Anolis sagrei: one gene and its partners. The protein of the gene in region 4 binds, or shares a complex with, the protein of the main gene of each other region. Links are inferred from orthologs where the notes say so. Each region holds a gene or a part of one and is shown on either strand. Other genes may lie near its edges. The genes, in order: TAF4, TAF13, TAF8 and TAF11.

Region 1 (7,899 bases), about 43 Mb from region 4:
TTGATCTACCAACTCCACTTCTGAGTCTGTCCAGGGACTTCCAAGTTGCCCATTCTTGGTTTGCCCCTGGGAGGCCAGTTGGGATTGCCTGGTTTAGCTGCCCAGAGAGATGCTCTCGCTGTTGCTGGGGGAATATCATGAAACTTTTCCTTGATTTGAGGCTACTGGGAGGAGGCTGATAGTCATGCAGTGGATGGCTTTAACAGTGTTCAGCCTTATTTCTCTCATGATTGGCCACAACTTCCCATCACACATTTGGTGGGGCAGGGGGACAATAAGATCGAAGCGGTTTATATGGGGGAGGGAGATTGGTTTCATTGAGTAATTGATTTTAACTATTTTTTTTTACTTTGTATTGCATGTTTACATGTTGTAAGCAGCCAGAGGAGGGTTAGACTATTACTGTTTTCAACCTTGACTAGAACACAGCACCTTACTCTAGCTTGTTGGCGACTAACAAATTATACAATGTTCTTTAACTGCTTTAAAACTAATTAGTTTTGTTACTTTGTAGGTTTAATACATTTATATGTTTTATTTAATTATTTAAACATTGTATTTGTTATAATTTGTTATAGATGTTTTATCCATTTGGCTATTTGTTCATTTTGTATTGTTTTTATGGTATTGAATGTTTGCCATCATTTGCTGGAAACCACCCTGAGTCCCCTCATGGAGATCGGGTGGGTTATAAATAAAATTATTATTATTGTTATTATTATTATTATTATTGAGTCCACTTGCAGGGAAAGGTGGGGTAAAAATACCTTAAATAAATAATGCTTTAGTTGTGAGCCGCTTTGAGTCTCCATATGGAGAGAAAAAGTGGGATATAAATAAATATCATATAAACCAATCCCTCCCTAAAGAACTAAAAATTGCCTCCTCTCTCTTCTCCTTTAAAAAACTCATAAAAACCTATTTATGCACTTTAGCATATGGGGAGGAGGAGGATTAGTACATCTTAATTATATACTCTTGCTTAGATACTGGAAATCTACCTCAGCCCTGTTGGTTGCAGTAAACCACCCCATATTTTAATGCTCTGTAGCTGCTAAGTGTTTTATGTTGGTAAATGTGTGTAATCTGATATACTATGTTTATTTAACTTCTTACTTTTTGGTTTATTTATTTCGTATCAAAAGCATTGCATAAATTAGTATAAAACTGGGTGGGGCTTTCAGTGTTCAACCTACAGGAAACATACCCCCCCCCCCCCCCCCGGTTAGGTCAGATCCACTGGCTGCCGGTCCATTTCTGAGCATAATTCAAAGTGCTGGTCTTGGCCTATAAAGCCTTGTACGTTTCCGGCCCAGCTTACCTGTCCGAACGTATCTCCTTTGACGTCCCACCTTGGGATTTAAGATTGTCCGGGGAGGCCCTGCTCTCGGTCCCACCCTCTTTGCAAGTGTGTTTGGCAGGGACAAGGGACAGGGATGCTCTGTGGAATGTTCTCTCTAGCGAGAATAGGTTGGCTCTTTCCCTCCTCTCTTCCCGGAATAAAGGTATAACTCCCAGCAAAATGTCCTTACAAATGCACTTTAACCACTGGATTGCGTTGGACTGTGCCCCTCTCACTTTTTAAAACCCTCCTACAAGAAAGCAAAGTGCATAAGTGGGTACGACAGTTCAAAGATGGCTGTAACAACGTCCATGATGAGGATCGCTCCGGTCGCCCTTCTTTGATTACAGACGATTTGATCACACACTCAAATCTTTGGTTTTTGTGGTCCTCTGTTAGGAGTTTTGGGACCCAACGGGAGAACGGTTTCCTAAACTTTAGGTGTTCAGAAACAATGTTGTAAAGCACTGATCTCGACACGTCAGGATATTCGTTTGAGAGACCTGTTATTGTGAAGCGCCTGTTTTCACGAATCCTCGCTTCAACTGATCGTCTGTAATCAAAGAAGGGCGACCGGAGCGGTCCTCATCATGGACGTTGTCATGGCCATCTTTGAATTGTCGTACGCACTTTGCTTTCACTCATAACAGTATCACCGTACACTTCACAAATCTGTCGATGAATTTCTGCAGCAGGCAGGTTCCTTGCTGACAAAAACCGTATCACTGAGCAAACCTCACATGCGGATGGTGAGTTGATAGTCTTAAACATGTTTAAAGCACAGAACAGAACCGTACAGGTGAGCTACAGAGCGGAAACTGAGCACTGTTGTTCCCGAGGCATGCTGGTACACGACGCACGTGCTCGTTGCGGTATGCGCGCAAACTACTAGTGTCTACAACAAAACGGACCTTACTTTAAAAATACCCCTCGTATATAGCTGTGTGGAAGGGGCCGGAGTTTCTCCTTCCACATAGCCATATATCCCAAGAAGATCAAGGAATACCAGCATATCTGCTTTGAACTGGGTTATCTGAGTCCACACTGCCACATAACCCAGTTAAATGTGGATTATATATAGCTGTGTGGAAGTGGCCGGAGTCTCTCCTTCCACATAGCCATATATCCCAAGAAGATCAAGGAAGAAAATACCAGAATATCTGCTTTGAACTGGGTTATCTGAGTCCACACTGCCACATAACCCAGTCCAATGTAAGCTTTGTACAGCTGTGTGGAAGTGGGTTGTTGTAGGTATTTTTCGGGCTATATGGCCATGTTCTAGAGGCATTCTCTCCTGACATTTTGCCTACATCTATGGCAAGCATCCGCTGAGGTAGTGAGGTCTATTGGAACTAGGAAAGTGGGTTTATATATCTGTGGAATGACCAGGGTGGGACAAAGAACTCTTGTGTTGGAGCTAGGTGTGAATGTTTCAACTGACCACCTTGATTAGCAATTGATTGCCTGGAAGTGTCTGGAGCAATCTTTTGTTGAAAGGTGATTAGATGTCCTTGTTTGTTTCTTCTCTGTTGTTGTGCTGTTCTAATAGATAGATAGGGACACACAATTCACAGAAAGTTTCTTAGTATTGTCGAAGGCTTTCATGGCCTGTTAGAAGTAGGAAAATGGGTTTATGTATCTGTGGAATGACCAGGGTGGGAGAAAGAACTCATGTCTGTTGGAGCTAGGTGTGAATGTTTCAACTGAATGTTTCTTTGCCCACATGAAAGGAGGATGATGAATGGGATTGTGATGGTGTTGGACGATTTGGCTCTTTTAACTGTGATGATAATGTTTTAATGTGTATGGTGCTGATATTTTAATCGTGTTATGAAGTGGCATTGTGTTGTTATTGTATATTCTTTGTATGTTAACACATGTTGTGAACCGGTTCAAATCCCTCTTTGGGGGATGTCTGGCTGGGCAGGGCAGGTGGGACAAATTAAATAAAACACCTCGAAATAAATAAATTAACTGACCACCTAGCTCCAACAGACAAGAGTTCTTTGTCCCACCCTGGTCCTTCCACAGATATATAAACCCCTTTTCCCTAGTTGCAACAGACCTCACTACCTCTGAGGATGCTTGCCATAGATGCAGGTGAAACGTCAGGAGAAAATGCCCGAAAAAACCTACAACAACCCAGTGATTCCGGCCATGAAAGCCTTCGACAATACATTGTGTGGAAGTGGCCGGAGTGTCTCCTTCCACGCAGCCATATATCCCAAGAACATCAAGGAATACCAGCATATCTGCTCTGAACTGGGTTATCTAAGTCCACACTGCCACATAACCCAGTCCAATGTGGGCTTTGTACAGCTGTGTGGAAGTGGGTTGTTGTAGGTTTTTTCGGGCTATATGGCCATGTTCTAGAGGCATTTTCTCCTGACGTTTCCCCTGCATCTATGGCAAGCATCCTCAGAGGTAGTGAGGTCTATTGGAACTAGGAAAGTGGGTTTATATATCTGTGGAATGACCAGGGTGGGACAAAGAACTCTTGTCTGTTGGAGCTAGGTGGTCAGTTGAAACATTCACACCTAGCTCCAACAGAGAAGAGTTCTTTGTCCCACCCTGGTCATTCCACAGATATATAAACCCACTTTCCTAGTTCCAATTGACCTTGCTTGCCATAGATGCAGGCGAAACGTCAGGAGAAAATGCCTCTAGAAGATGGCCATATAGCCCGAAAAAAACCTACAACAACCCTTCAACAATACATTTTGTGGAAGTGGCAGGAGTGTTTCCTTCCACACAGCCATATATCCCAAGAAGATCAAGGAATACCAGCATATCTGCTTTGAAGTGGGTTATTTGAGTCCACAATGACACATACCCAGTCCAATGTGGGCTTTGTACAGCTGTGTGGAAGTGGCCGGAGTGTCTCCTTCCACACAGCCATATAAACCCAGATCAGCTTCATTCGGGATCCCAGTTCAAAGCAGACCATGTGGGAGAGGCCGGGGCCTCTCCTCCTGTCCTTCAAGGGCAGGAAGAGAGCCAAAGCGGGCGGCGAGGCCTAGTTCCCTCAGTGAAGCGCCGGCGTCGAGTAGCTCCAAGTCCCCGCCGCCAAGCTCCTCCAGCCCGGCGAGAGCGGAACAACAACAACAGCAGCAGAGGCCACCGCGGCGGAGACTGCAGCCATTTTGAGTTTCGTCAGAGACAAAGAACGACTGCGGCGGCGGCGAAGGAGGCTGTCAGACTGCGGGGTCTCTGAGTCGGCGACGGCGGCGACCACTCTTTTGAGTCCTCATTTCTCTTCCTATTTAAGACTAGGCCGCAGCCGGGCCCGTCGCCTGACTAAACCCTGGGAGCCATTTGCGCCCGCTTTTATACCCAGCCGGCGGCCAATCAGAAGCGGGCGGAATCCCTCTCCTCGCGCCGCGCGCATGCTCAGTGGCGGCACACCGAGGGAGACAGAGAGAGAGAGAGAGAGAGAGCCGGGAACCGCGTATGTGTAAAATGAGTGAGGAAGGGAAGGGAAGGGGAGGGGGGAGGAGGGAGGAGGGAGGAGTGAGCGCGCGCGAGAGGGAGGGGGGAGGAGGGAGGGAGGGAAGAAAAAAGATGGCGGCGGGCTCGGATCTGCTGGATGAGGTTTTCCTGAACGCGGAGGTGGATGAGAAGGTGGTGAGCGACCTAGTGGGCTCGCTGGAGTCCCAGCTGGCGGCCTCCGGGCACCACCGAGGCCACCACCGGCCTCCCGAGGGACTCCGGGCCGCCGCCAACGCCGCCACCGGGCAGCTGCTGGGGAACCATGTCGTGAGCGGCGGCGGAGGAGGCAGCCCCAGCCCCGGAGGAGGAGGCGGCGGAGGAGGAGGGGGAGGCAATGCCAGTGGCCAAACAGGGAGCCCCGGCACCACCACCTCCTCCTCCTCTTCCTCTTCCTCCTCCTCCTCCACAACCACTGCCGTCACCAGTAACGCCGCCAAGATGGGACTCAGTGGCCCAGAGACCACCAAGCCAGGTAACCTGGGGAAGGGAGAGGGAGGAGGGCCTCCTCGCCTCCCCTTCTCCCCTCTTGCCCTCCTCTCTTGCCCCCTTGCCTGCCTTCCTCGCTTCCTTCCACCCAGCTTCTCCTCCTTGTTGTTTTGGTCGCAATGGGCCGCCAATGTTCAGGCATGGGCCAACTTGGGCCCTCCCTCCAGGTGCTTTGGACTCCCAACTCCCACCATTCCTAACAGCCCCAGGCCTCCTCCTTTCCAGGAAGGGGCCTGAGGGTGTTAGGGATGGTGGGAGTTGGAGTCCAAAGCACCTGGAGGGCTGAAGTCGACCCATGCCTGCTCTACAGCCTCAGAGTCTGAATTATTCTTCCTCCTTCCCATACTCTGTTACTGAAGTGTCAGAAGTATGGGTTGATATTCATTACAACACCAGTTTCCCCAAAAGACCTGAAGTGTCAGGAGTAGGGGTTGCTATTCATTACAGTTTCCCCCAGAAGAGGAAGTAATAGGGAGGGATTGAGGGGCAGGGACCTGCTTAAAACTATGATAATCATAATCATAATAATAATGCCTTCTCTTCAGCCTCAGAGTCTGAATTATCCTTCTCTCCATTCTCTCTTGCTGAAGTGTCAGGAGTAGAGGTTGCTATTCATTAGAGTTTCACCCAGAAGAGGAAGTGATGGGGAGGGATTGAGGGACAGGGACCTGCTTAAAAGTATAATAATAATCATAATAATAATAATCATAATCATAATAATAGTGGGCCAAAGTTGGCCCATGTCTGCTCCACAGCCTCAGTGTCTGAATTATCCTTCTCTCCTTTCTCTGTTGCTGAAGTGTCAGGAGTAGGGGTGGCTATTCATTACAACACCAGCGTCCCCCAGAACCTGCTTACAAGTATAATATTTATAATAATACTGGGCCAAAGTTGGCCCATGCCTGCTCTTCAGCCTCAGAATCTGAATTATCCTTCTCTCCATTCTATGTTGCTGAAGTGTCAGGAGTAGGGGTTGCTATTCATTACAACACCAGTTTCCCCCCAGAAACTGGTGTTGTGATGGGGAGGGATTGAGGGGTCAGGAACCTGCTTAAAAGTATAATCATAATCATAATCATAGTGGGCCAAAGTTGGCCCATGCCTTCTATTCAGTCTCAAAGTCTGAATTATCCTTCTCTCCATTCTCTCTTGCGTGTCAAGAGTAGGGGTGGCTATTCATTACAACGCCACTTTCCCCCAGAAGAGGAAGTGATGGGGTGGGATTGAGGGACAGGGACCTGCTTAAAAGTATAATAATAATAATAATACTGGGCCAAAGTTGGCCCATGCCTGCTCTACAGCCTCAGAGTCTGAATAATCCTTCCTCTGTTGCTTAAACTAGGATAATAATAATAATGGGCCAAAGTTGGCCCATGCCTGCTTTACAGCCTCAGAGTCTGAATTATCCTTCTCTCCATTCTATGTTGCTGAAGTGTCAGGAGGTTGTAATGTAATGAATAAATAGGGGTTGCTATTCATTACAACACCAGTTTCCCCCAGAAGAGGAAGTGATGGGGTGGGATTGAGGGACAGGGACCTGCTTAAAACTATGATAATAATAAGAATGATAATCATAATAATAATAGTGAGCCAAATTGGCCCATGCCTGCTCTACAGCCTCAGAGACTGAATTATCCTTCTCTCCTTTCTCTGTTGCTGAAGTGTCAGGAGTAGGGGTGGCTATTCATTACAACACCAGCTTCCCCCAGAACCTGCTTAAAAGTATAATATTTATAATAATACTGGGCCAAAGTTGGCCCATGCCTTCTCTTCAGCCTCTGTGCCTGAATTATCTTTCTCTCCATTCTCTCTTGCTGAAGTGTCAGGATTAGGGGTTGCTATTCATTACAACACCAGTTTCCCCAAAAGATCTGAAGTGTCAGGAGTAGGGGTTGCTATTCATACAGTTTCCCCCAGAAGAGGAAGAGATGGGGAGGGATTGAGGGTCAGGAACCTGCTTAAAAGTATAATAATAATAATAATAATAATAATAATAATAGTGGGCCAAAGTTGGCCCTTGCCTGCTATTCAGCCTTTGAGTCTGAATTATCCTTCTCTCCATTCTCTCTTGCTGAAGTGTCAGGAGTAGAGGTTGCTATTCATTACAGTTTCCCCCCTTCATTACAGAAGAGGAAGTGATGGGGTGGGATTGTGGGACAAGGACCTGCTTAAAACTATGATAATAATAAGAATGATGATGATAATAATAATAATAGTAATAGTAATAATAATAGTAATAGTAATAGTAATAGTGGGCCAAAGTTGGTCCATGCCTTCTCTTCAGCCTCTGTGTCTGAATTATTCTTCTCTCCATTCTCTCTTGCTGAAGTGTCAGGAGTAGGGGGTTGATATTCATTACAACACCATCTCCCCCAAAAGACCTGAAGTGTCAGGAGTAGGGGTTGCTATTCATTACAGTTTCCCCCAGAAGAGGAAGTGATGGGGAGGGATTGAGGGACAGGGACCTGCTTAAAATTATGATAATCATAATATTGGGCCAAAGTTGGCCCATGCCTGCTCTTCAGCCTCAGAGTCTGAATTATCCTCTCCATTCTCCGTTGCTGAGGTGTCAGGAGTAGGGG
Region 2 (7,202 bases), on a different chromosome or scaffold from region 4:
AAGAACTACAACAAACAATATCACAGTGCCATATACATTTATAGTGGGAATGCACTGGGAATCACGTATACTTCTCCTTATTGTACTTCAAAAGATATACTGTAATGCTAGAAAAAAAATGCAGAATGGAGTCATTAAAATGATAAGAAGGCTAAAGATGCTCCCATATGAAGCAATGTTGTTTTTAAAAAATAAAATAAAGGTGTTGGAGACATCATAAATATGTAAAAATATGTATGCTGTGGGAAAAGTAGATAGGAAATAGCTTTATCTTTCACTTGTCAAAATAAAACCTCAACTCATATAATAAAGCTGAATGGCAGGACATTTACACTAGACAAAAAAGAAATGCATTCACTATGAAAAAATGTAGGGATGGCTGCCAACTACAACAGCGTCAAAACAGAAATAGAGAAATCAACGAAGAATGGAACACTGGGAATGTGGCACAGCTGTCTGAGTGTCAGCTTCATTAAGATCACCTCTGACCATAAGGTCATGAGTTCGAAGCCAGCCCGGGTTGGAATGAACTTCTGGCCAATTGTGTAGCTTGTTGTCGACCTTTGCAACCCGAAAGACAGTTGCATCTGTCAAGTAGGAAAATTAGGTATCACCTATGTGTGGGGAGGCTAATTTAACTAATTTATGAGGCCATAAAAAGGACTCCAGCAAGCACTACAGCAAAAGCATGCGGGGAATGCGGAAGTACTTCATAAGTGTCGCAGATGGACGATTAAAGCGACAGCTGCCCTGGCGACTGAAAAGTTAAATAGCCACTGGCTGTTTGTCTATATCTGTTGTGTGTCTTTGGCATTGAATGTTTGCCATATGTGTACATTGTAATCCACCCTGAGTCCCCTGCGGGGTGAGAAGAGCAGAATATATACTCTGTAAATAAATAAATAAATAAACTACCAATGGCTATTAGTAATAATGGCAACCGGTACTGGAAGATCTTTTAGTCCCAACTGTTGAGGAAAGCAGGCCTTGGAGTGCTATTGTGCTCCTGTCCTGCCTGTAGGCTTTCTTTATGTATCAGGTTGGCCAATGTGAGAAGAAAATGTTGAGTTAAATATGGCTTTGATCAAACAGAATTCTTACAAATATTTTCAAGATAACTATACCACATGAGCCAACAAATGTCTCCAGAGAAGGGTGACTAAAATGATCAAGGGTCTAGAGAACAAGCCCTATAAGGAGCAGCTTAAAGAGCTGTTTAGCCTACCAAAGAGAAGGCTGAGAGAAGACATGATGGCCATGTATAAATATGTGAGGGGAAGTAATAGGGGGAGGGAGCAAGCTTGTTTTCTACTGCCCTGGAGACTAGGACGCAATGGAACAATGGCTTCAAACTACAGAAAAGGAGATTCCACCTGAAAATCAGGAAGAACTTCTTAACTGTGAGAGCTCTTCAGCAGTGGAACTCTCTGCCCCAAAGTGTGGTGGACACTCCTTCTTTGGAGGCTTTTAAACAGAGGCTGGATGGCCATCTGTCAGGGGTGCTTTCAATGGGATTTTCCTGCTTCTTGGCAGGGGGTTGGATTGGATGGCCCACGAGGTCTCTTCCAACTCTTATAATTCTATGGTTTAAAGTTTGTAATGACAAAACTGGCAAATTCTAAATACACCTAGTACAAAATAAATTTCATATTAGTGGGTGAGATTTCCCCCAAGGAAAATCTGCACAGGATTATTATAGCATCACAGTCTAATTCCAACGGAACATTTCCAGGTCTTCAAGTTCAACAGAGAGCTACATTCACAGTGTAGAGTTATAGCAATTTGGCTGCCATGACTGAATGCTATGGGATTCTGGGATTTGTAGTTTTGTGAGATATCTACCTTTCTTTGTCAGTTCCACAAAAAATACAAATCCTAGAGAATGGAGACACAGCAGTGAAAGTGGTGGAAAATTGCTATAATTCTGCAGTGTGGATGGTTTCAGGGGTTAAGTTCAGCTACTGTATTTAATCATTTAATTTTAATTGTTGGCTTCAAGATAGCTTTAACATCTATTTTATATGTATTGTCGAAGGCTTTCTTGGCCAGAATCACTGGGTTGTTTAAGTTTTTTTGGGCTATATGGCTATGTTCTAGAGGCATTCTCTCCTGACGTTTCGCCTGCATCTATGGCAGTGGTTCTCAACCTGTGGGTCCCCAGATGTTTTGGCCTTCAACTCCCAGAAATCCTAACAGCTGCTAAACTGGCTGGGATTTCTGGGAGTTGTAGGCCAAAACACCTGGGAACCCACAGGTTGAGAACCACTGATCTATGGCAAGCATCCTCAGAGGTAGTGAGGTAGTAACCTCACTACCTCTGAGGATGCTTGCCATAGATGCAGGCAAAACGTCAGGAGAGAATGCCTCTAGAACATGGCCATATAGCCCGAAAAAACCTACAACATCACAACTATTTTATACTCAGAGTGCATCTATACCAGGCATGGGCAAACTTCGGCCCTCCAGGGTTTTGGACTCCAACTCCCACAATTCTTAACAACCTCAGGAAAAGGAAAGGGTCCGGGGCTGTTAGGAATTATGGAAGTTGGAGTCCAACGCCCCTGGAGGGCTAAAGTTTGCCCATGCCTGATCTATACTGTAGAATTAATGCAGTTTGGCATCACTTTTACTGCCACGTCTCAATCCTGGGAGTTGTAGTTTTACAAGGCCTTTAGCCAAACTACAAACCATAGCACTCCACTGCACTGAGCCATGACAGTTAAAGTGGTGCCAAACTGCATCAATTCTACTGTGTAGATGCACCCACGGTCTTGCCATGAATTAGGGAAGCTCTGAAGGCAGCAAGTGTCCCCCTCAGCCTCCCAAAGGGCATCCAAGAAGGATAGGAAGTCTAAAAACAATGTTATTCTCGCCCCAAACTGAGCCCCTGTCTTCCTCACTCACGGGAGGATCCTCTTCTTCGTCCGCCATGATTCCTGGAAGCGACGGAAATGTTGTCCCACTGTCCCGGCCAATCAGGAAGCACTTCCGCCCGCGCTGCGATTGGTCCTTTCACGAAGAACTTCTGAGCATGCGCCCTGCGAAGAAAGGCAGCCACAGCTGCACTTATCACTCACATTGCCCTTCTCCAGAGGTGTCAGGCTCTGTTTAGAACACTAGGCCTTTGGACCCCATCTAGTACTTTTCCCTCACTGCTCTCATAAAGCCATACTTCAGTGCATCTACACTGTAGACTTATTGGGCATTGGATACCACTTTAACTGCCATGGCTCAGGATGGGAAAAGGACTAGTAATATTGGCCTACATTTATTTTCTTATCAAAGGTTATTTTCTTATCAAAGCCCTAAACGACTCTGGCCCTGTTTACCTCTCCGAACGTATTCTCCCCTATGAACCATCAAGATTATTAAGATCGTCTGGAGCGGCCCTGCTCTCGGTCCCATCGGCCTCGCAAGCGCGTCTGGTGGGGATGAGGGACAGGGCTTTCTCAGTGGTGGCCCCTAGACTCTGGAACTCTCTCCCACTGGAGATCAGAACCGCCCCTTCTATCCTGACATTTAGGAAACAGGTGAAGACTTGGTTATGGAGACAGGCATTCGACGAGTGAGCCAACACCCTGAGATATGGATGGAGGATGATGAGCAACGATTTTAGTGTGACGACTAACCATTATAGTTATTTATTGTAATTGCTGTTTTAATGTTTTACTGTAATATGTATTATGATGTTTTATTGATTGTATGTGATATTATGGTTGGAAACCGGTCTGAGTCCCTCAAGAGAGGTGAGAAGGCCAGTATACAAAACTTATAAATAAATAAATAAATACTCCATTCCCATTAAAGAGCAAATGTAAGGTCCCATGGAGCCTTGGTGGTGCAGCAGGTTAAACCACTGAGCTGCTGAACTTGTTGACCGAAAGGTCGGCGATTTGAATCTGGGGAGTGGGGTGAGCTCCTGCTGTTAGCCCCAGCTTCTGCCAACCTAGCAGTTCGAAAACATGCAAATGTGAGTAGATCAATTGATTTGATTTTGAGTAGATCAATAGGTACCGCTCCAGCGGGAAGGTAATGGTGGCCCATGCAGTCATGCTTGCCACATGACCTAGGAGATGTCTACGGACAATGCCGGCTCTTCAGCTTAGAAATTGAGATGAGCACCACACCACAGAGTCAGACACAACTGGACTTAATGTCAGGGGAAAACTTTACCTAAATAAACTTAATGTCAAGGGGAAACTTTTATATTTACCTAAGGCTCCATGCATATTTCCTTCTATGAACCTGTACGACCTGTTCGATCCTCTGGGGAGGCGCAAGCGCGACTTGTGGGGACAAGGGAGAGTGCCTTCACCATGGTGGCCCCTCGGCTTTGGAATAAGCAAATAGCTTATCTGTTTAGTTGAGTTGCAAAATCAAGGGATTCTGAGAGCGATCCTTAAACTAAATAAATAAATATACGGGTATTGAGGTAGGCCTAGTTTATACAGTATTTCCTTGCTCTGGCCTCTGAAGAAGAGAGGCCAACAGAGTTCTGTTAACATTTCCAACAACAGTCATTTTTCCCCAGGTTCTGCTACAATAATAATACAATGTTTAATTAGGGATGCTATGGGCTGGCCTCTACACAACAAACTGTATCCTTTGGCATTGCGCTCAGGTCTCACGTAAGTGCTTTCAGATATATTCCCATTCTTTGTTGTGAGTTTTCCAGGTTGCATGGACATATTCCAGTAGCATTCTCTCCTGACATTTTGCCCACATGGCAGGCATCCTCAGAAGTTGTGAGGTCCGTTGGAAACTAGGCAAGTGAGGTTTGTATATCTTTCCCCCACCCTGGACATTCCACGGATATATACAGCCTGGAAAACTTACAGCAACCCAGTGATTCTGATGCAGAGCATCCCCCCCCCCAAGCATTTGTAGTTCGCCAAGGGCCAGACAATGGATTCTGCCGCTTCCTGACCCAGCACACATAACTGGGTTCCTGTTTCCTCTCTGTGAATTCTCTGGCTTGTGCACTGGACCCTGGCCCAAAGATCAGGGAAATGTAGTTCTCCAAAGGACATTGCCCCACTCTCCACCATTTGCGGACTCTTTGCGGATCTTTCTGCCTTCTCTGATTGACTTGGTGCCCTAGCGCCACGGACTTCCTCTATGAACTCCAAACCAGCCGCTTGAGAAGCATGGCCCCCGCCTGTGGGTGCATGCCTTCGTGCAAAGAATAATACTTCAGGGACTCTGATGATTGCCTTTATTAATTGCTGTGGGTTTTCTAATAAACTTTGCTGGGACGGGATGGGGATCTTTCCTATGAAATCTATGAGTTATGAAAGCCTATGAAGAAAATATATATGAAATATGTATAATATGTAATGAAATGTGATGAAATGTACCCTCACCCTTTCCTTGCATTTCCCCTCTTGAACTTTGCCCTACAAAAGAATATGTGACCAGGGGATTACAGTTAAGGAAATCCAATTTCCTTGGAAGAAGCTCCATTCATATTGACATTGCATGGAAAATACTGGCGAATCTATGGCTTTGTTTTTCAGAGTTCAGACAAACAAAAGTCAGAGATTTTATCAGCCAGAAGCCCGGATAAACAGACTGATTGCATCAATTATGGTGTTTGTGTATGCTCCCTTGTGTCAAAGGATCTCCTTTGCCTACAGGGTTGAGATCCAGACACCATCCATAGCCTCCCTTTGTTGCTCATACACATCTTTTATCAAGACCCAGGAAATCCCTTGTTCTCCCCATCCGCCTCCCTGCCGTGAAGAGACAAAAGGTGTTCCATCAGCTGGCAGTCGCCTCCCAGGCATTCCGCCCCTCTGCGCTGTCAAACTAGAGCCCGCCTCCTGGCCGCTGATTGGACAATCTCTGGAGGCGCTCCGAGGGCTCTGATTGGCCCTCTGGAGGCAACAGCGGCCGGCGATTGGAGGGAGGGTGGGACCAGCGGCCAAGCCTCCTCCCAGCTGTTCCAGAGCCGGCCAACCAGGACAGAGGGGACTGACAGGAGGCGGGCGGGAGATTCAAGCCAGGATTCCTTTGTTCTGTCTGTATAAATATGCCTGAAAATCACTGTACTGTATGCTTACTTGAGGAAATATCCCTGTAATGCATCCTTTTCAGCTGAATCGCTAAATAAACGCTTCGGTCGCTGGGTACCTCTTCAGCCTCTGGCGAGATTAATTCTTAATATTGTGCGCTTTGGATTGGCTTCTGCTGGCAGCTCGCCAAGGTCAAGACCCCATTAGAGGTCTCCAGGGTTCCCCCTCGCTGGGAGAACCCTCCAAAAAAGGAGCTCGATATCATTTGGCTTTACCACGAAGGGACTGCTGCTTGAGGTTCCAGACTAAATTATAGCCTAAATTCTCAAGCAGGCGCCTTGGTCTGATTCTTTGGGCCAGCAGCGAAGGAGGAACGGCTTGGGAAAAGAGGCGCCTCTCCCAATTCGGACTTTCATTTGACCAGCTAACCAAAACTACAAATTCTCCCGCAGCCACTTCCTCCCAAGCTCTGACCTAGGGTTTCAGCACAAAGGAGCGCCAGGGAAGCCTTGATCTAAGGACTTCCAGGAAGAGGAGCGACCGACGCGGAAAGGGGGGAAGAAAACGTCCGGACGGGTAAGAAGCCAACCGCGGGCTGCCTTGGCTGCCAGGTGGGAGGGGATTCTAGGCTTTCTGAACCAGCTTCGGAGTCGGCCCACTGGGGAGGGATTCTCTAGGTCTCGGTAACAAATTCCTGGCGGGAGGTAGCGAACATCCACGTTTGAGGTCCAGAATAGCAACTCAGCTCGCTTTTGCGGCCTTGGCTGGAGCTACGCTGGAGAGGGAGCCCTTCCCTTTCGGACTGCCTAGCTGCCAAGGGCTGATCGCCTCGGGCTCTCTTGCTAGGGGACCGTTCAGGCTCTAGCTTGCCAGCGGTTGGGGGGGCTACCCTGATTAGCCACTTCAGTGTGGGGCTATCAAGAGAGATGGGCGCATGTTATTCTGGGATCAAACGTCCTGCTTCATCAGAAACATCTTTTGGGAAGATACTGGCGGAATGGGGCAGGGTTGCGTCGCCGACGCAGGCCAGTAGGGTAAAAATCGCATGGAGAGGTGGCCCTCTGGGCCCTCAGCAGGTGGAGTTTCGTGGCCCCTCATGGCAGTCGGATCGCTGTGAGGGGGCCAAGAGGGCCGAAACCGCCTCTGCCTCATGCTTTTTGCCATGTGCCGGAGGGAGGTGGAAGGGGG
Region 3 (7,967 bases), about 1.8 Mb from region 4:
GTGATTCCGGCCATGAAAGCCTTTGACAATAAATAGAAGGATGTTTGATAAAATAGAAGGGAATAGAAAAATAGGAAGACCACATTTTCATTGGACAGATACAAGGAAGTCATGCTAGATTTGTAGGACTTGAACAGGACTGTTGTTAACAGAGAAATGTGGAGGTCTCTCATTGAGCCAGAATGATATAGTGGTTTAAACATTGAACTGTGACTCTGGGTTTATGGACTAGCATGGATCCATTTTAAAACCAGCTTCTGCCCCCTGCAGAATTCTGGGACTTGGGGAGTTTAGGGAGGAGCCTTTAAACTGCTAAGCCAGAGGGGTCCTGGTCTCACTAAACTACAAAACCCAGAATTCTGCAGGAGGCAGAAACCAGATTTGAAGTAGATCCATGTCCTAGTGCAGGGGTCCTCAAACTAAGGCCCGGGGCCGGATGCGGCCCTCCAAGGTCATTTACCCGGCCCTCACTCAGGGTCAACCTAAGTATGAAACTACTTGAAAGCACACAATAATAACAACAATCCTATCTCATCAGCCAAAATCAGGCCCACACTTTCCATTGAAATACTAATAAGTTTATATTTGTTAAAATTGTTCTTAATTTCCTCCTGACTATTTCTCCAAATTATTGTATTGTTGTTTTTTTTTTTGCACTATAAATAAGATATGTGCAGTGTGCATAGGAATTCATTCATATCTTTTGCTCTAGTGTGATGAAGTCCCTATTCAGCCCTGGAAACCACTTAATGACCTTTGACAAGTCACACTCTCTTAGCCTCAAAGAAAGGCAATGGGAAACCGATTCTGAACAAATCTTCCCAAGAAACCCCTGTGATAGGTTCGCATTAAAGTTTCCATAGGTCGAAAATTACTTGAAAGTAACTACAGCAACATTAATAGAGTTGCCATAAGTTGAAATCAACTTGATGGTTTTTAAGAACAAATACAAAGAAAAACACTCTTCTAACAAATATTTTTTCCAAAACAGTTTTGAACACATGCAAACACACACATCTAGCTAAAACAATCAGACAAAACTATGATGGTTTTAAGGATCAAGGCTGAAGTAGCACTGTCTTGGTTCTTTGTTGGTAGCTCAAGTTGAATGGAGCCATCAAGGTGTCTCCAGGGAGGGAAATCCATAATTAGGATGTCACTACAAAGAGAACCTTGCTACATTTACCTACCAAGATAGGATGCATCTCCACTGTAGAATTAATGCAGTTTGACACCACTTGAACTGCCCTGGCTTGATGCTATAGGTTCATGGGAGTTGTAGTTTTATAATATCTTTAGTCTTCTCTGCCAGAGTGCTAGTGCTTCAACAAATGAAAACCCCCATGATCCTATAGAACTGGGCCGTGACAGTTAAAGTGGTGCCAATCTGTGTTAATTCTACAGTAGAGATGCACCCGGTGGAGGGGCATGCAGTAGCACCTACACCCAGGATCTCATATCACTGGTCAGAATCGTTTATGTGTACATGTTCTGAACAACAGAAGCCACTTCAAGACTGCCAAAAATATTCACAAAAGTTAGTAGAGCAAAACTAAGGTCCCTTCTACACTGCCATATAATCCATTTTATCAAAGCCTATAACCCACAGTGTTTGCTTTGAACTGGATTATATGAGTTTACACTGCCATATAATCCAGTTCAAAGCAGATAATGTGGACTTTATATGGTAGTGTAGAAGTGCCTAAGTGAGGAAGGACAAGTTTGGGGCAAATCTAATGGGCACATGTAAAACATGTATAATAAATAGTGCTCTTCTTTAACATCTAAATCCAGTTAGGATCATATAGGAACTTACTCAGCAACAATTCCCAAATACAAAAACAACAATCCATGCATCTGATGAAGTGGGATGTAGTTCACAAAAGCATATGCTATCCCCCCCCCCCCCTTTAATTTCAAGGTGCCAGAAGATTAATTCCTGTCCACTCCCACATACGAATTTTTGCAATGGAATTTAATTAATTATTTCTGTGGAAGTCTGGCTCTAACCACATACATTAAATATTTTATCCAGGACCAAGTTGTGGTGAAATCCATATTCACTCTACATTACTCATATGACTGCATGAATCTTGTGGAATTTCTACAGGAAACATTTTCACACATTCATTTCAGCCCTTCCTTGCTGGGGCTATTCTCACAGGACAAGAACTTGCTACTGACCTTGTTTAAAAACATCAAAAAAGTAGCTTCCTACCTCATTGTCGATGATCAAGAAGCTCAATTCTCTGATGACACTTTTTAAAAAAGCAACAATGCAATGTTCCCGAATTTTAATTTATTTTAGTTAATTTTCCCTTTCTCCAAGCACCATTGCCAGAAAGTCGTGTTGCTGAAATAGGCACTGTGAGTTAAATCAACACAACCGAAGACCTTTAATTTCCAGACTTCTGACGGTTGTTTACATTTCTATACTTCAGCAGTGTAATTGGTTGGAACAATACTGTCTGTCACATGTATTGTGCTTGGGCAGGAAATGGGGATCAGAGGGGCTACAAGATGTGGGTTTCCTGTTCTGCAGACTGTAACGCACACATGTTTTTGTCCTCAGTACAATAATCATCCATAGAAAAAAAGAAAGTGAAATGGGAGAAGACACAGTGTTAGAAGCAGCTCTGAAAATAACAACAAATAAGCATTGCAGCTTCTCCAGATGCTCAGACAAAACCAAAACAGGCTCTTTATTTACAAACATTTTAAAACTGATTTACAAATCCGATGTAGAAATTTCCAAAGAATGAGACAGTTATTGGAACACTGTGGGCTGGATTAGAAACATTATCAAATTGCCAGCAATGAATCTTAATGTTTCATAAGGGACAAATGAGAAACACAGCATGCATCTATACTGTAGAATTAACGCAATTTGACTCCACTTTAACTGCCCTGGCTCAATGCTATGGTTGGTGAGGCAGGGAATTCTCAAGACACTGTAAAAATATACCTTTCATGATCCCATAGCACTGGGCCAGGGCAGTTCAAGCAATGTCTAACCTTAGATTCTGTAATGCAAACAGGGACTTGTATTATCACAACTTGTAAATCTTGAAACATGGTTCTCATGCTCCCTCTCAACCTCCCCTTCTCCAGGAGGAAAGGAGGAAGGAAAAAGAGAAGGAAGGAAGGAAGGAAGGGAAAGAGAAGGATGGAAGGAAGGATGGAAGAGAATGGAGGGAGGGAAGAAAGCGAGAAGGGAAGACAAAAGGAAAGGAAGGAAGGAAGGAAGGAGAAAGGGGGAGAGAAGGAAAGGGGAAAGGAAGGGGAAAGGGAAAGAAGGAGGGAGGGAGAAAGAGAGAGGTAAGGAAGGAAATGAAGAAGGAAAGAAAGAGAAGGAAAGACAAAAGGGAGGGGAGGAAGGAAGGAAGCAAGGACAAAAGGAAAGGAAGAGAAGGAAAGACAAAAGGGAGGGAAGGAAGGAAGGGGGGAGAAAGAGGGAAGGAGAGAAGGAGAGAGAAAAGAGGGAAGGAAGGGTGAAAGGGAAGGAAAGAGGGAGGGAGAAAGAGGGAGGTAAGGAAGGAAAGGAAGAAGGAAAACAAAAGGGAGGGAAGGAAGCAAGAATGAAAGGGTGGAAGGGAAGGAAGGAGGGAGAAGGAGGGGAGGGAGGGAAGGAAAGAGAGAAGGACAGAAGGGAAAGAAGGATGAAAGGAAGAATGGAAGATAATGGAGGGAGGGAAGAAAGAGAAGAGAAGACAAAAGGAAGGGAAGGAAGGAGAAAGAGGGGGAGAGAGAAGGAGAGAGGGAAGGAAGGGTGAAAGAGAAGGAAGGAGGAAGGGAGAGGGAGGTAAGGAAGGAAAGGAAGAAGGAAAGACAAAAGGGAGGGAAGGAAGGAAGCAAGGATGAAAGGGTGGAAGGGAAGGAAGGAGGAGAAAGAGGGAGATGAAAGAGGGAAGTGTGAAAGGGAAGGAAGAAGGGAGGGAGAAAGAGGGAGGTAAGGAAGGAAAGGAAGAAGGAAAGAGAAAGAGGAGGGGAGGAAAGAAGCAAGGACGAAAGGGTGGAAGGGAAGGAAGGAGGGAGAAAAAGGGAGAGAGAGAAGGAGAGGAAAGAGGGAGGGAAGGATGAAAGAGAAGGAAGGAGGAAGGGAGAGGGAGGAAAGGAAGGAGGAAAGACAAAAGGGAGGGAAGGAAGTAAGCAAGGACGAAAGGGTGGAAGGGAAGGAAGGAGGGAGAAAGAGGGAGAGAGAAGGAGAGAGGAGAAAGGGAGGGAAGGATGAAAGAGAAGGAAGGAGGAAGGGAGAGGGAGGAAAGACAAAAGGGAGGGAAGGAAGGAAGCAAGGACGAAAGGGTGGAAGGGAAGGAAGGAGGGAGAAAGAGGGAGAGAGAAGGAGAGAGAAAAGAGGGAGGGAAGGATGAACGAGAAGGAAGGAGGAAGGGAGAGGGAGGAAAGGAAGGAGTAAAGACAAAAGGGAGGGAAGGAAGGAAGCAAGGATGAAATGGTGGAAGGGAAGGAAGGAGGGAGAAAGAAAGAGGGAGGTAAGGAAGGAAGGAAAGGAAGAAGGAAAGACAAAAGGGAGGGAAGGAAGGAAGGACGAAAGGGTGGAAGGGAGAGAAGGAAAGAGAGAAGGAAGGATAGGATGTGTGAGAAAAGTGCCCAAGGTTTGCCCTGCCCTCTATAGGTGCATCTACATGTACAAACTTTGGCCCTCCAGGTGTTTTAGACTCCAACTCCCTACTGCCTGTTAGGAATGGTGGGAGTCGAAATCCAAAACACCAGGAGGGCCGAAGCTTGCCCATGCCTGGTCTACACTATTGAGTTAATGCAGTTTGGCAGCACTAGAACTGCCATCTATGGAGTGATGTTGCTTGGTGAGGCAGAGAAGGCCCAAGGCGTGGTCAGATTCTCACTTCATTCTCCCAGCGCAGCAGGCGAACCCTCCCTCCCTTCCCACTCAGCAGCAACACACAGGATGAGAAGGACAAGCCCCACTCTGAGAACTACAATCCCCAGAATCCCTTTCGCCGGCGCGCATGCTCGCATCCTCCCATGGATCCAAGATGGCCGACACAGGGACCGGTGGATCTGGTAGCAGCTCGGGCACGGTAAGGGCGGGGCTCTGAGGGCGCGACTCTCTCTCCTTTCCCTCTTTGTTTTCTGGGTCGAAGGGGGCTTCTTCGTGGGCCAGGGCCTCTGCCTTGGGCCCTCAACACGAGGCGTAGAGGCCCAAGAGCGAAAGGCAGGGCCTGCTTCGGATTGGAGAATCAGGGGAGGCGGGCGGGTCTTGATTGGTCGAGCTCCGTTGGCCCTGGTTGGCTGGGGCAGGTGCCAATCATCTTCGGACCCATCTGGGCCCATGTGGGTGGCCCAGAATGGTCGCAGGTTGACACCACTGTCACTACCATAGCTCCATCCTATGGAAAAGTGAGAGTTGTAGTTGATTGTGGCACCAGACTCTCTCACACGGGAAATGTCCCGCAAAACTACAAATCTCAGAATTTTATAACATACATCCATAGCAATGTATTGTCATAGAATCCAGAGTTGGAAGAGACCTCATGGGCCATCCAGTCCAACCCCCTGCCAAGAAGCAGGAAAATTGCATTCAAAGCACCCCCGACAGATGGCCATCCAGCCTCTGCTTAAAAGCTTCCAAAGACGGAGCCTCCACCACACACTGGGGCAGAGAGTTCCATTGCTGAACCGTCAGGAAATTCTTCCTAATGTTCAGATGGAATCTCCTTTCCTGTAGTTTGAAGCCATTGTTCAATTGCGTCCTAGTCTCCAGGGCAGCAGAAAACAAGCTTGCTCCCTCCTCCCTGTGACTTCCTCTCACATATTTATACATGGCCATCATGTCTCCTCTCTGCCTTCTCTTCTGCAGGGTAAACATGTCAAGTTCTTTAAGCCGTTCCTCATAGGGCTTGTTCTCCAGACCCTTGATCATTTTAGTCCAGGCCCTTGATCATTTTGTCAAAGGCTTTCATGGCCAGAATCACTGGGTTGTTGTAGGTTTTTCAGGCTGTATGGCCATGTTCTAGAAGCATTCTCTCCTGACGTTTCGCCTGCATCTATGGCAGGCATCCTCAGAGGTTTGAGACCTCACAACCTCTGAGGATGCCTGCCACAGATGCAGGGGAAACGTCAGTAGAGAATGCTTCTAGAACATGGCCATACAGCACGAAAAACCTACAACAACCCAGTTCATCTGTAGCAGTTAATGTGGTGTCAAACTGCTATATTTCTGCAATGTGGACCAATCCCTGCTTGGGCTGGAAGCATATCTTTGCTGCTCTGTACTTGGAGATTGGACTTGCATCTCAATATAACATCCATTTAGGTTTCATCTTATACACATAGCTTGAAGGCAACCACCAACAAAATTGAAGAAATTATACTTTAAATTAAAATCTGTTTTTATAATATAGTGAAAAAGAAAAAACCCAGGTTATTTTGCATTAAGTTTATCTTTATTTGCTTTTAATTGTTGTATTTCAGTCTTAATATCAAGTCAGTACAAAATTTATGGTATAGTATGATTAAGCATACTTTTCAGAGTAATCCTCACTCAAGCAGAATCTACATTTATCTGTTAGTCCCCTTTGTGTCCATCCTTCATCCATTCCCTGCATTTTCTTGGTTGATTTTGCCCCAAAAGCGCTCAGGTGGTAAACACTCTACGACTCCTGCGGATAACTATTATTTGGCTCGAAGGCGGACCCTGCAGGTGGTGGTCAGCTCTCTCTTGACAGAGGCTGGGTTTGAGAGCGCAGAGAAGGCCGCTGTGGAAACCATGACGGAGATGCTCCAGAGCTGTGAGTAGCCCCCAAATGATGGCTTACATTAGAAAGACAGTGCCATTTCCTTAGTTTAAAATCACCATTCTTTTAGATATCAATAACAGATATTTTGAATTTACATTCATCATCGCTTCTTTAGTCAACTAGCTTGTCTTTTCACCATTTGGTATCCCAAATGACAATAGTTGAGTTAAGTTACCATTATGTATGTGGGTTTGGGATACCTTTCTTTTGAGTTTCTTTTAAATGTGTTTGTATGTGTTTTGCTAGTAGTGTGCTTTGTATGTTTTTGAATTTATTTATTTTTGGATGTATATGTGATGGCTTTAGTAGATATACAGCGCTTTTGTTATAATGCATGTGCATAAATTTTTTGTGTGTGGTATGTGTAGCTTGTACATTTACTCCTCTTGCCTATCTATGAAATGGGCATCTTGTTCTGTTTTGTGATTTAAATGTACAATTTGGCCTTTGGATCTCCCATGCCTGTCTTGCATTTAGGGAGGACTTTGGAAAGGATTTTTGGGGGGAGTGTGAGAGAATGAAGGATATATATTTCAAATCTCAGTTCCGTGGTGATCTTTGTTTTAACAGATATATCAGAAATAGGGAGGAGCGCCAAGTCTGTCTGTGAACATACGGCAAGGACTCAGCCAACCCTTTCTGATATTGTCGTCACCTTAGTTGAAATGGGTGAGTGCCTTTATCTTACATGGGTGTAACGCTGGGAAGTCAGGTAGAAATGGGATTATATACAGATGCCAACAGACTGGATATTATTGCTTTTAACTTTTCCTCTTTTTGTGTGTTTCAGGTTTCAATGTAGAAACGCTCCCTGCGTATGCCAAACGGTCCCAGAGGATGGTGATCACTGCACGTACGTGAGATTTGGTCTAGTGACAACTATGGTGAGACTGTCCCTAGGACTGCCAACCTCCCCCCACAAAACAATAACAGAAACCCACATAATGACAAATGACTTCTTCCAAAACCCAGACGTCGTCAGATTTGAATGTTATGCAATGTAGTCCCCCACAACTTGATTAAAACTTGACCTGCCTCCCCTGGAAGCATTTTATTCTTTCCAAGAGCTCTTGAAGAAGGTAATTAGGTGAATCCGAAAGGGCTGAGGCTTTCAAGGACAGCCTTGATGGTAGCATGATGCCCAACAGCCACACTTTGCTCACCCCAGTTTTGTTGTCTTCCTAATGTGTC
Region 4 (7,789 bases):
GATTGAAACTAAGACTTTGCCTGAGATCTTCATTAGAACGCTGCTGACAACAATCTAATTTGGCACAATTGTCTAGAATGATGAACAAATGTTGCAGTTAACAAAGTTGTCCACCCACTTTTGTCTTTTCTTATCTTTCATCTGTCATTAGGGCATTACTAATGTGTAGCTTCTCCTTCAGTTGTAGGACAATGGGCCTCTTAGCTGGCTTGTAAGTGTGTGATGCGAATTTCACTTCTGTGCATCTATGGTAATAGGATATTGTATCAGGAATGTGTAAATGATGGACAGTGCCCTTGAAGGCAAGAGGATGTAGTAGGTATTTCTATGATGGAGACCAATCACATGCAATTACCTCTCTGAACACCTATGTGAAGACGTGAACCAGATGCCTCATAAATTCAAAAGGGGAAGGAGGTACTGTGTATGATGACAGCATATAGCAGGAGTCTGGTATTCCTTTAGTATGCATGAGATATTAAAAAAATTGAATCCATCCTTTCAAAACACAGGAAATGAGACAAAACATGAATTAATACAGCTGAATATGCTAGGATGATGTGCATGCTAATTTAGTTTGCTCTTCCATTTCTGGTCAAACAGGTTCTGCGGATTTATGAAGTATTACAAGTGTTGCAACATTTATTTGATTAGAAGCAACAGTTGGACAGAAACTAATGTACATGCCGAGCAGTTATACCAACCCTCATTTTAAAAAATGTTACTAGCTTCAATATATCCAACAGGTTCTTCACTAAGTATTTATCCCACCTTGCCCACTGAAATAATAAATGGCATGTCACATTGAGATGGTGTTGGTTCTCCTGGTAGGGAACATACTAAACTCTTTCACCAGTGAGTTGACTTGATGGATAAAGGCATCTGCAGTTAATTTCCCCTCTACTTACTGCAAATGTATTGGAAGTGGTAGCTTGAACTCAAAGGCACAATCAACCTTCAATCATAAGTTCTGATTTGCATTCTGTTGCTGCAATATTTCAATTTTGTATCTGTGTCTGGTGCAAGTTTTATATATGTGTGTGTGTGTTTGATCAAAATTGTTTATTTTATATATTTTATGTTAATATGTTTTTGACTATGTTGTATCCCGCCTCGAGCCATCAAGAGATACAAGTAATAAGAAATTTATAATTTTTATTACTATTATCATTATTACTTGAACTCTGGAATATGTCAATGTGTGATTTCCTGTATTCTTTTCCTATACTATTTACACCATGCTCATACTTGAAAGCATTGCACTAAATCAAATTAGTTCCAACTAGAATAGCCCCATTGAACCAGTGGGACTAACATATGTGTTGATTTATTATCCAGCAGCTGATGTACTGGGGCCCCTTCTACACTGTCATATAATCCAGATTATCGAAGCAGATAAATCACATTATCTGCTTTGAACTGGATTATATGAATCTACACGATCACATAATCCAGTTGAAAGTAGAGAATCTGGACTTTATATGGCAATGTAGAAGGGGCCTGGGAGTACTCTAATTAGTACTAACAATTTAATATAGCCCATTATCTTGTCAGATGTAGGGTGTATCTATGCTGTCAAATTAATGCAGTTCCATAGCACTTTAATTCTCATGGCTCCATGCTATAGAATCCTGGGACTCTGCCAAAGAGTGCAGGTGCCTCAACACAGGCTCTCTTGAGCTCATTTTGCTGATGTCAATTAAACAACATTAAACAGGGCTCTGAAAATGAAATTTTCAGTACAGGTTCATCAAGTTAGGCTAGATTGCTATCACATCTGAAGTATGCTTCAGAGACAAGTATGTGCTGGCCATTGCTCCCCTCCCTCTTGTTATAGTCAGTTGTAAACAAATTCTCCACATATCTAGAATGTGAAGAAAAGCTGTTGTGGGTTGCTGTGAGTTTTCTGGGCTGTATGGTCATGCTCCAGAAGCATTATCTCCTGACGTTTCACCCACACATATGGCAAGCATCCTCAGAGGTTGAGGAATCTGTTGGAAACTAGGCAAGTGAGGTTTATATATCTGTGAAATGTCCAGGGTGGGAGAAAGAACTCTTGTCTGCTTGAGGTAGGTGTGAATGTTGCAAATGGCCACCTTGAGTAACATTTAATGGCCTGGCAGCTTCAATGCCTGGCTGATTGCTGCCTGGGGGATTCTTTTGTTGGGTGGTGTTACCTGATGGAGTATTGTCTGGAATTCCCCTGTTTTCAGAGTGGTGTTCTTTATTTACTGTCCTGATTTTAGAGGGTTTTTTAAAATACTGTTAGCCAGATTTTGTTAATTTTCATGCCTAGTTTCCAATGTATCCCTTAACCTCTGAGGATGCCTGCCACAGATGTGGGCAAAATGTCAGGAGAGAATGCTTCAGCAGCATGGCCATAAAGCCCGGAAAACTCACAGCAACCCAGTGATTCCGGCCACTAAAGTCTTCGACAACACAAAAGCTATCATGCTTTTAGGAAAGTAATAGAATATTTGATTTTCACCAGAGATTTAATAATATTAGCAACTCTGAGGCTATATAGACCCAAGTGCCTGCATGCCTTTGATTTTCATACATACGAGGGGTGTCCATTAAAGATTTCCCCAACCCTCTTCTATTTATCACAGGATGCTGAAACTGCACATGTGTAATGATATAAGTCTCTATACGTTTGTGCCAATTTACACCTCAGAACGGATAACAGTCTTGATTTTACAGGTGTTGAAGTGGTGTGAGGTTTGATAATGGACCCAGTGGAATACATAGCAATCCTCAAGTTCCTTTACTTGAAAGGCTGCATACCAAAGGAGGCGTTAAATAAGATGAAAAAGGTTTATGGTGATGATTCTCCATCATATGAGGTAGTCAAGAACTGGCATCGTCAATTCAGATGTGGTCAGACTTCGGTGGAAACAGCTCCAACTCTAGGAACAACCCATTCTGCTATTGATGAACACATCATCCAGCAAGTGGAGGTCACCATTTTGGAAAATTGCCATTCACCACCTAGCCTGATATGTCAAGATTATTGTGGAGTCTTTGGAAAAAATCTCCCAAGACCATCTTCACATGCATAAGGTATCCTCTCGCTGGGTCTAGGTAGAGAAGGACTAATAACTGTGTCAAGTTTGATTGCTCTCAGTCCACAGGAAGTGGGTCAGGGAAAATCTTTAATGAATGCCCCTCATATCTGTTGTTTCGACATTTCTGTTCACTGAAGGCTACAACTGAAAGAAAGATGGTAGAAAACCATGCCTCACATGTGTGTTAATTTAAAACATACCAAAGCGTGCCTGAATCCTGACCACCTCAGTATTGAGGAAGTTCTCAAATACACAACTAAAACATCTCCTTGGACAGTGATAATACAAACAAAATAGGTTGAGCATCATTTATCCAAAGTTCTGGAATATGAAACATGCCGAAATTGTCCGTATGGGCAGCTGTGCTTTTTGATGGTTCAATGTACACAAACTTTGTTCAAGGCACAAAAATATTGTGTGTAGAATTGCTTTTGGCCTATGTGTATATGGTGTATATGAAACACAAATGAATTTATTGTTTAATCAGGTTCCATATTCAAGATATTTTGTGCATAGAAGGCATGATAATTAAGTTTGCAGATGACACCAAATTGGGAGTGATAGCCAATATTCCAGAAGACAGGAGCAGAATTCAAAACGATATTAACAGATGAGATGGGCCAGAACTAACAAAATGAAGTTTAACAGTGACAAATGCATGATACTCCAGTTAGGCAGAAAAAAAAATGAAATGCAAAGATACAGAATGGGGGATGCCTGGCTTGAGAGCAGTACATGTAAAAAAGATCTTGGGGTCCTCGTGGACAACAAGTTAAACAAGAGCCAACAATGTGATGCGGCAGCAAAAAAAGCCAATGGGATTTTGGCCTGCATTAATAGGAGTATAGCATCTAGATCCAGGGAAGTAATGCTACCCCTCTATTCTGCCTTGGTTAGACCATAACTGGAATACTGTGTCCAATTCTGGACACCACAATTGAAGAGAGATATTGACAAGCTGGAATGTGTCCAGTGAAGGGCAACTAAAATGATCAAAGGTCTGGAGAACAAGCCCTGTGAGGAGCGGCTTAAAGAACTGGGCATGTTTACCCTGCAGAAGAGAAGGCTGAGACACGATAACCATGTATAAATAAGTGTGGGGAAGTCACAGTGAGGCGGGAGCAAGCTTGTTTTCTGCTGCCCTGGAGACTAGGACACGGAACAATGGCTTCAAACTACAAGAAAGGAGATTTCATCTGAACACTAGGAAGAACTTCCTGACTGTGAGACCTGTTCAGCAATGGAACCCTCTGCCCTGGAGGCTTTTAATCAGAGACTGGATGGCCATCTATTGGGGGTGCTTTGAATTCAATTTTCCTGCTTCTTGGCAGGGGGTTGGAATGGATGGCCCACGAGGTCCCACGAGGTCTCCTCCAGTTCTAGGATTTGAAAAAATAAAATAGAAATGTTTTTGATCCCAAGCATTTCGGAGAAGGGCTGCAGCTTGGGGCACATCTACACTGTAGAATTAGTGAAGTTTGACACCGCTTAATGCTATGAACTTATGGGAGTTGTAGATTTGCAATTTTTTTTATCCTCCTCTGCCTCAGAGTGGTGGGACTTCACCAAACTACCACTCCCAGATTCCAATGCCGTTAAAAGTGGCATCAAATCCATACAGTGCAGTGCTGTAAGGACACAGTTGCTTCCATGAGAGCTCAGGCTTGGGCTGGCTTCTTCCGTTGCCAAGGAAACGAAAGGGCAAGGCGGCTGCGATGACGTCATCAGGGCGCGACAGAGGCCTTTCCCAGTATGGCGGAGCCGGCGGTGTCTCGCAGAGAAGAAGCCGTGCTTGTGTCCGGTGCGACTTCGGGCGAGGAGCCGCCTGTCTCTGCTGCGGGGGCGGCTGACGGGAAGGAGAAGGGCCCCGGGGAGCCGAAGGAGCGGGAAGCGGCGCCTGGAGAGGTGGGAAGGGAGGGGAGGGCCTTCTATGATCTTTCAGCTTTGAGCCAAGGCTGTTCTAATGGGAGCAGGCCGCATTTATGCTGCAGCAGGCCTGGGCAAACTTGGGCTCTCCTTCCAGGTGTTTTGGACTCCAACTCCCACCATCCCTCACAGCCTCAGGCCCCTTCAAACTGGTGGCCAGAGATAACAAACTGTCACAAAAAATGTGCAAAATAAAGCCCTCAAGGTGCATCAGTGCTTTGTGTCATCATCATGCAGGCTTCAGATTCATTCCAGGATCTCCTAAGCAACCATCTACACAGCAAAACCACGTTTTTCAATACTGGTTTGAAGCAGCATTAAATGGTCAGTGTAGATGTGCCCTGTGTTATCTGAAAATTGTGTCACCCCCCAGAACTGTTTTTGCAAATTCAAAGGAAAGGGGCTGCATGGAGAATGGAGGATTGCACACTGTGATGGAACCCCTCTTCAGGTTGATGTCGTGTTCAAACCCTTGAGATTTTCCCAGGCTCAGGCAGGCCTTCAAATGCTAATGAAGGTGGTCAGTTGAAACATTCACACCTAGCTCTAGCAGGGAAGAGCTCTTTGCCCCACCCCAGCCATTCCACAGATATATAAACCCATTGTCCTATTTCCAACAGACCTCACTACCTCTGAGGATGCTTGCCATAGATGCAGGCGAAACGTCAGGAGAAATGCCTCTAGAACATGGCCCTATAGCCCGAAAAAACCCACAAGAACCTAGTGATTTCAGCCATGAAAGCCTTCGACAATACCTTGAGCTTCTGTCACTCATCTTGCCCTTTTACCTTAAAGATTCCCTCCCAGGACCTGATACTGAGGCTTCATGGAGACCACTGCACTGGGCAAGTGAATGGGTGATCAGTGATAAAAGGGCAACCACCTCTAGTTCAAAGAAAGTCATTTCTCCTTGAACCTTTACAACTCTTTCAGCTCCCTAAAACCTATTACAATTTTATGAATCCATCTCTTTCTACAAGGTCCTGAGTTTTATCCATATTCCTGTGTTTCTGAAGGACCCCGGCTCTTTAACAGACAAGCCTCTACATCAGAACTTTTAAAACATTTTCCACTTGCAACCCCTTTCTGTCTGATAATTTTTATGCGATCCCAGGTATATAGGTATATAAAATAGGTATAAAAATTACACATTTACTGATAATAAATCAGCATTTGCAAGGCTTGCTAAACAGAATGATTTTACTTTTTGAAAAGTATAGCTGAAACATTTTCAGCGGAATCCACTGTAAACACTGTTGCTAACAGTTTTGTGTAAATCGGTGGTATTCAGAACCTTTTACTGCTGCCACCCCAAAATTGACTTTATTTGGGGTCAGGACCCACAGTTTAAGAAGCAATGATCTATATTTTCTCCTTTCCACTACAAGTCTCTCATCACAGCATTCTGTAATTGTAATAGGCTGGCTCTTTACTTCACACACACACTTCCCAGTTAGACCTGGCCCTGCCATTCTGCCAGAAGAATGCTATCTTTGTGTTTTGCCCATTTAAGACAGATTCTTAAATTGAATTTTTTAGTGTTTATCAGCTATGATTTATAAGTTCTGTCATGAGTTATGGTTAGACATTTAAGAACTATGTTAGGATTATAGCTAAGCTGAAAATAATTTTCTTCTTAGATCAGAACTGAGGATTCTGTAGGTCTGCTCACAGGAGAGACAGAGGAGTCAACATCTTCTGCAAGCAAGAAAGTAAAAATAGAGATAAAAGATAAAAAAGATAAAAAGAATAAAGTTGATGAAGATGAGATTCAAAAAATGCAGTGAGTACTCTTATTTTACCTGATGCATAACTTTCGTTGTTCCTAATAACCTGTAGAAGACTAAACTTGCTAGTGAACAATATTGTACTTTTTTGTTTCGCGCTGTTATTTATTGGAGATACACGCTATTAAGCACTTGATGGGGCTTGCAACCTCTTTGTCTATGCTTCCCCCCCATAAAGATGGAAAAGCTTATTTCAAATAAGTATGTAATAATTACTCCTAAATTAATTTATTGATATGCATTCCTGTCCCTTTTAGACTATTTTTACGGGACTGGATCCAGAAAGCCAGTGCATGCATATTCCTTTGTCTGCAGTAGCAGTCTGTGCATCCCTTAAAAGTTTGGTTCCTGGTGTGAGATATCCCTGGGAGCACTGGAGGAAATAAAATTGAAATTAGTGAAACTGATGCTTCCCTCTCCCAATCAGCAGGAACATTCATAATGGAATATGCGTCAGAGCTACCATTGATGCAAACAAAGTCTGGAGTCAATCCATTCTTTTATCAATAGGAATTATGTTATGGTATTGTCTCTGACTTCCAAAGCTGTGTGCTTCCTGTAGCTTTAAGTGTGCTACCAGTTGTAGATCGAATGATGTCTCTAATTCCATGCTGTTATTGTTTTCCTCAAGAATACTAGTTTCCTCTTTTTCTGAAGAACAGCTAAATCGCTATGAGATGTATCGTAGATCAGCTTTTCCGAAGGCTGCTATTAAACGGGTAAGGTTGTGCTTTAGTCTGGTTTGAACTGTTTTAGATTTGCCTGTTGATTTGATCACTATGTGTAATATGAAGAATGTAGATGCAGTGTTTTGACTGGATAAAATCTGTCATTTTGACTTATCCCAGTCAGTGATGCAGCTACTAGGATTGTTATTACATAAGGATGTATAAGATTTAAAAATTACAAATGCACATTTATAAAACTGGATTTTGTATCCTTTCTCCTTTCTCAGTTGATCCAGTCAATTACTGGAACCTCTGTCTCTCAGAATGTGGTTATTGCCAT

Evidence for each region.
Region 1: TAF11 (region 4) and TAF4 share a complex: the UniProt entries of both Homo sapiens proteins name them as parts of the TFIID basal transcription factor complex. The link is inferred for Anolis sagrei from reciprocal best matches to the Homo sapiens genes TAF11 and TAF4.
Region 2: TAF11 (region 4) and TAF13 share a complex: the UniProt entries of both Homo sapiens proteins name them as parts of the TFIID basal transcription factor complex. The link is inferred for Anolis sagrei from reciprocal best matches to the Homo sapiens genes TAF11 and TAF13.
Region 3: TAF11 (region 4) and TAF8 share a complex: the UniProt entries of both Homo sapiens proteins name them as parts of the TFIID basal transcription factor complex. The link is inferred for Anolis sagrei from reciprocal best matches to the Homo sapiens genes TAF11 and TAF8.

Annotation. Positions count from the first base shown.
Region 1 is NC_090024.1:232,167,391-232,175,289, reverse strand, and holds the start of TAF4 (transcription initiation factor TFIID subunit 4), read left to right. Parts: upstream 1-4,893; 5' UTR 4,894-4,903; coding exon 4,904-5,303; intron 5,304-7,899. UniProt on the Homo sapiens protein: The TFIID basal transcription factor complex plays a major role in the initiation of RNA polymerase II (Pol II)-dependent transcription.
Region 2 is NC_090023.1:40,844,004-40,851,205, forward strand, and holds the start of TAF13 (transcription initiation factor TFIID subunit 13), read right to left. Parts: upstream 3,013-7,202; 5' UTR 2,932-3,012; coding exon 2,905-2,931; intron 1-2,904. UniProt on the Homo sapiens protein: The TFIID basal transcription factor complex plays a major role in the initiation of RNA polymerase II (Pol II)-dependent transcription.
Region 3 is NC_090024.1:191,185,469-191,193,435, forward strand, and holds the start of TAF8 (transcription initiation factor TFIID subunit 8), read left to right. Parts: upstream 1-4,958; 5' UTR 4,959-4,985; coding exon 4,986-5,057; intron 5,058-6,610; coding exon 6,611-6,767; intron 6,768-7,346; coding exon 7,347-7,445; intron 7,446-7,566; coding exon 7,567-7,629; intron 7,630-7,967. UniProt on the Homo sapiens protein: The TFIID basal transcription factor complex plays a major role in the initiation of RNA polymerase II (Pol II)-dependent transcription.
Region 4 is NC_090024.1:189,429,069-189,436,857, reverse strand, and holds the start of TAF11 (transcription initiation factor TFIID subunit 11), read left to right. Parts: upstream 1-4,786; 5' UTR 4,787-4,820; coding exon 4,821-4,973; intron 4,974-6,634; coding exon 6,635-6,777; intron 6,778-7,412; coding exon 7,413-7,500; intron 7,501-7,736; coding exon 7,737-7,789. UniProt on the Homo sapiens protein: The TFIID basal transcription factor complex plays a major role in the initiation of RNA polymerase II (Pol II)-dependent transcription.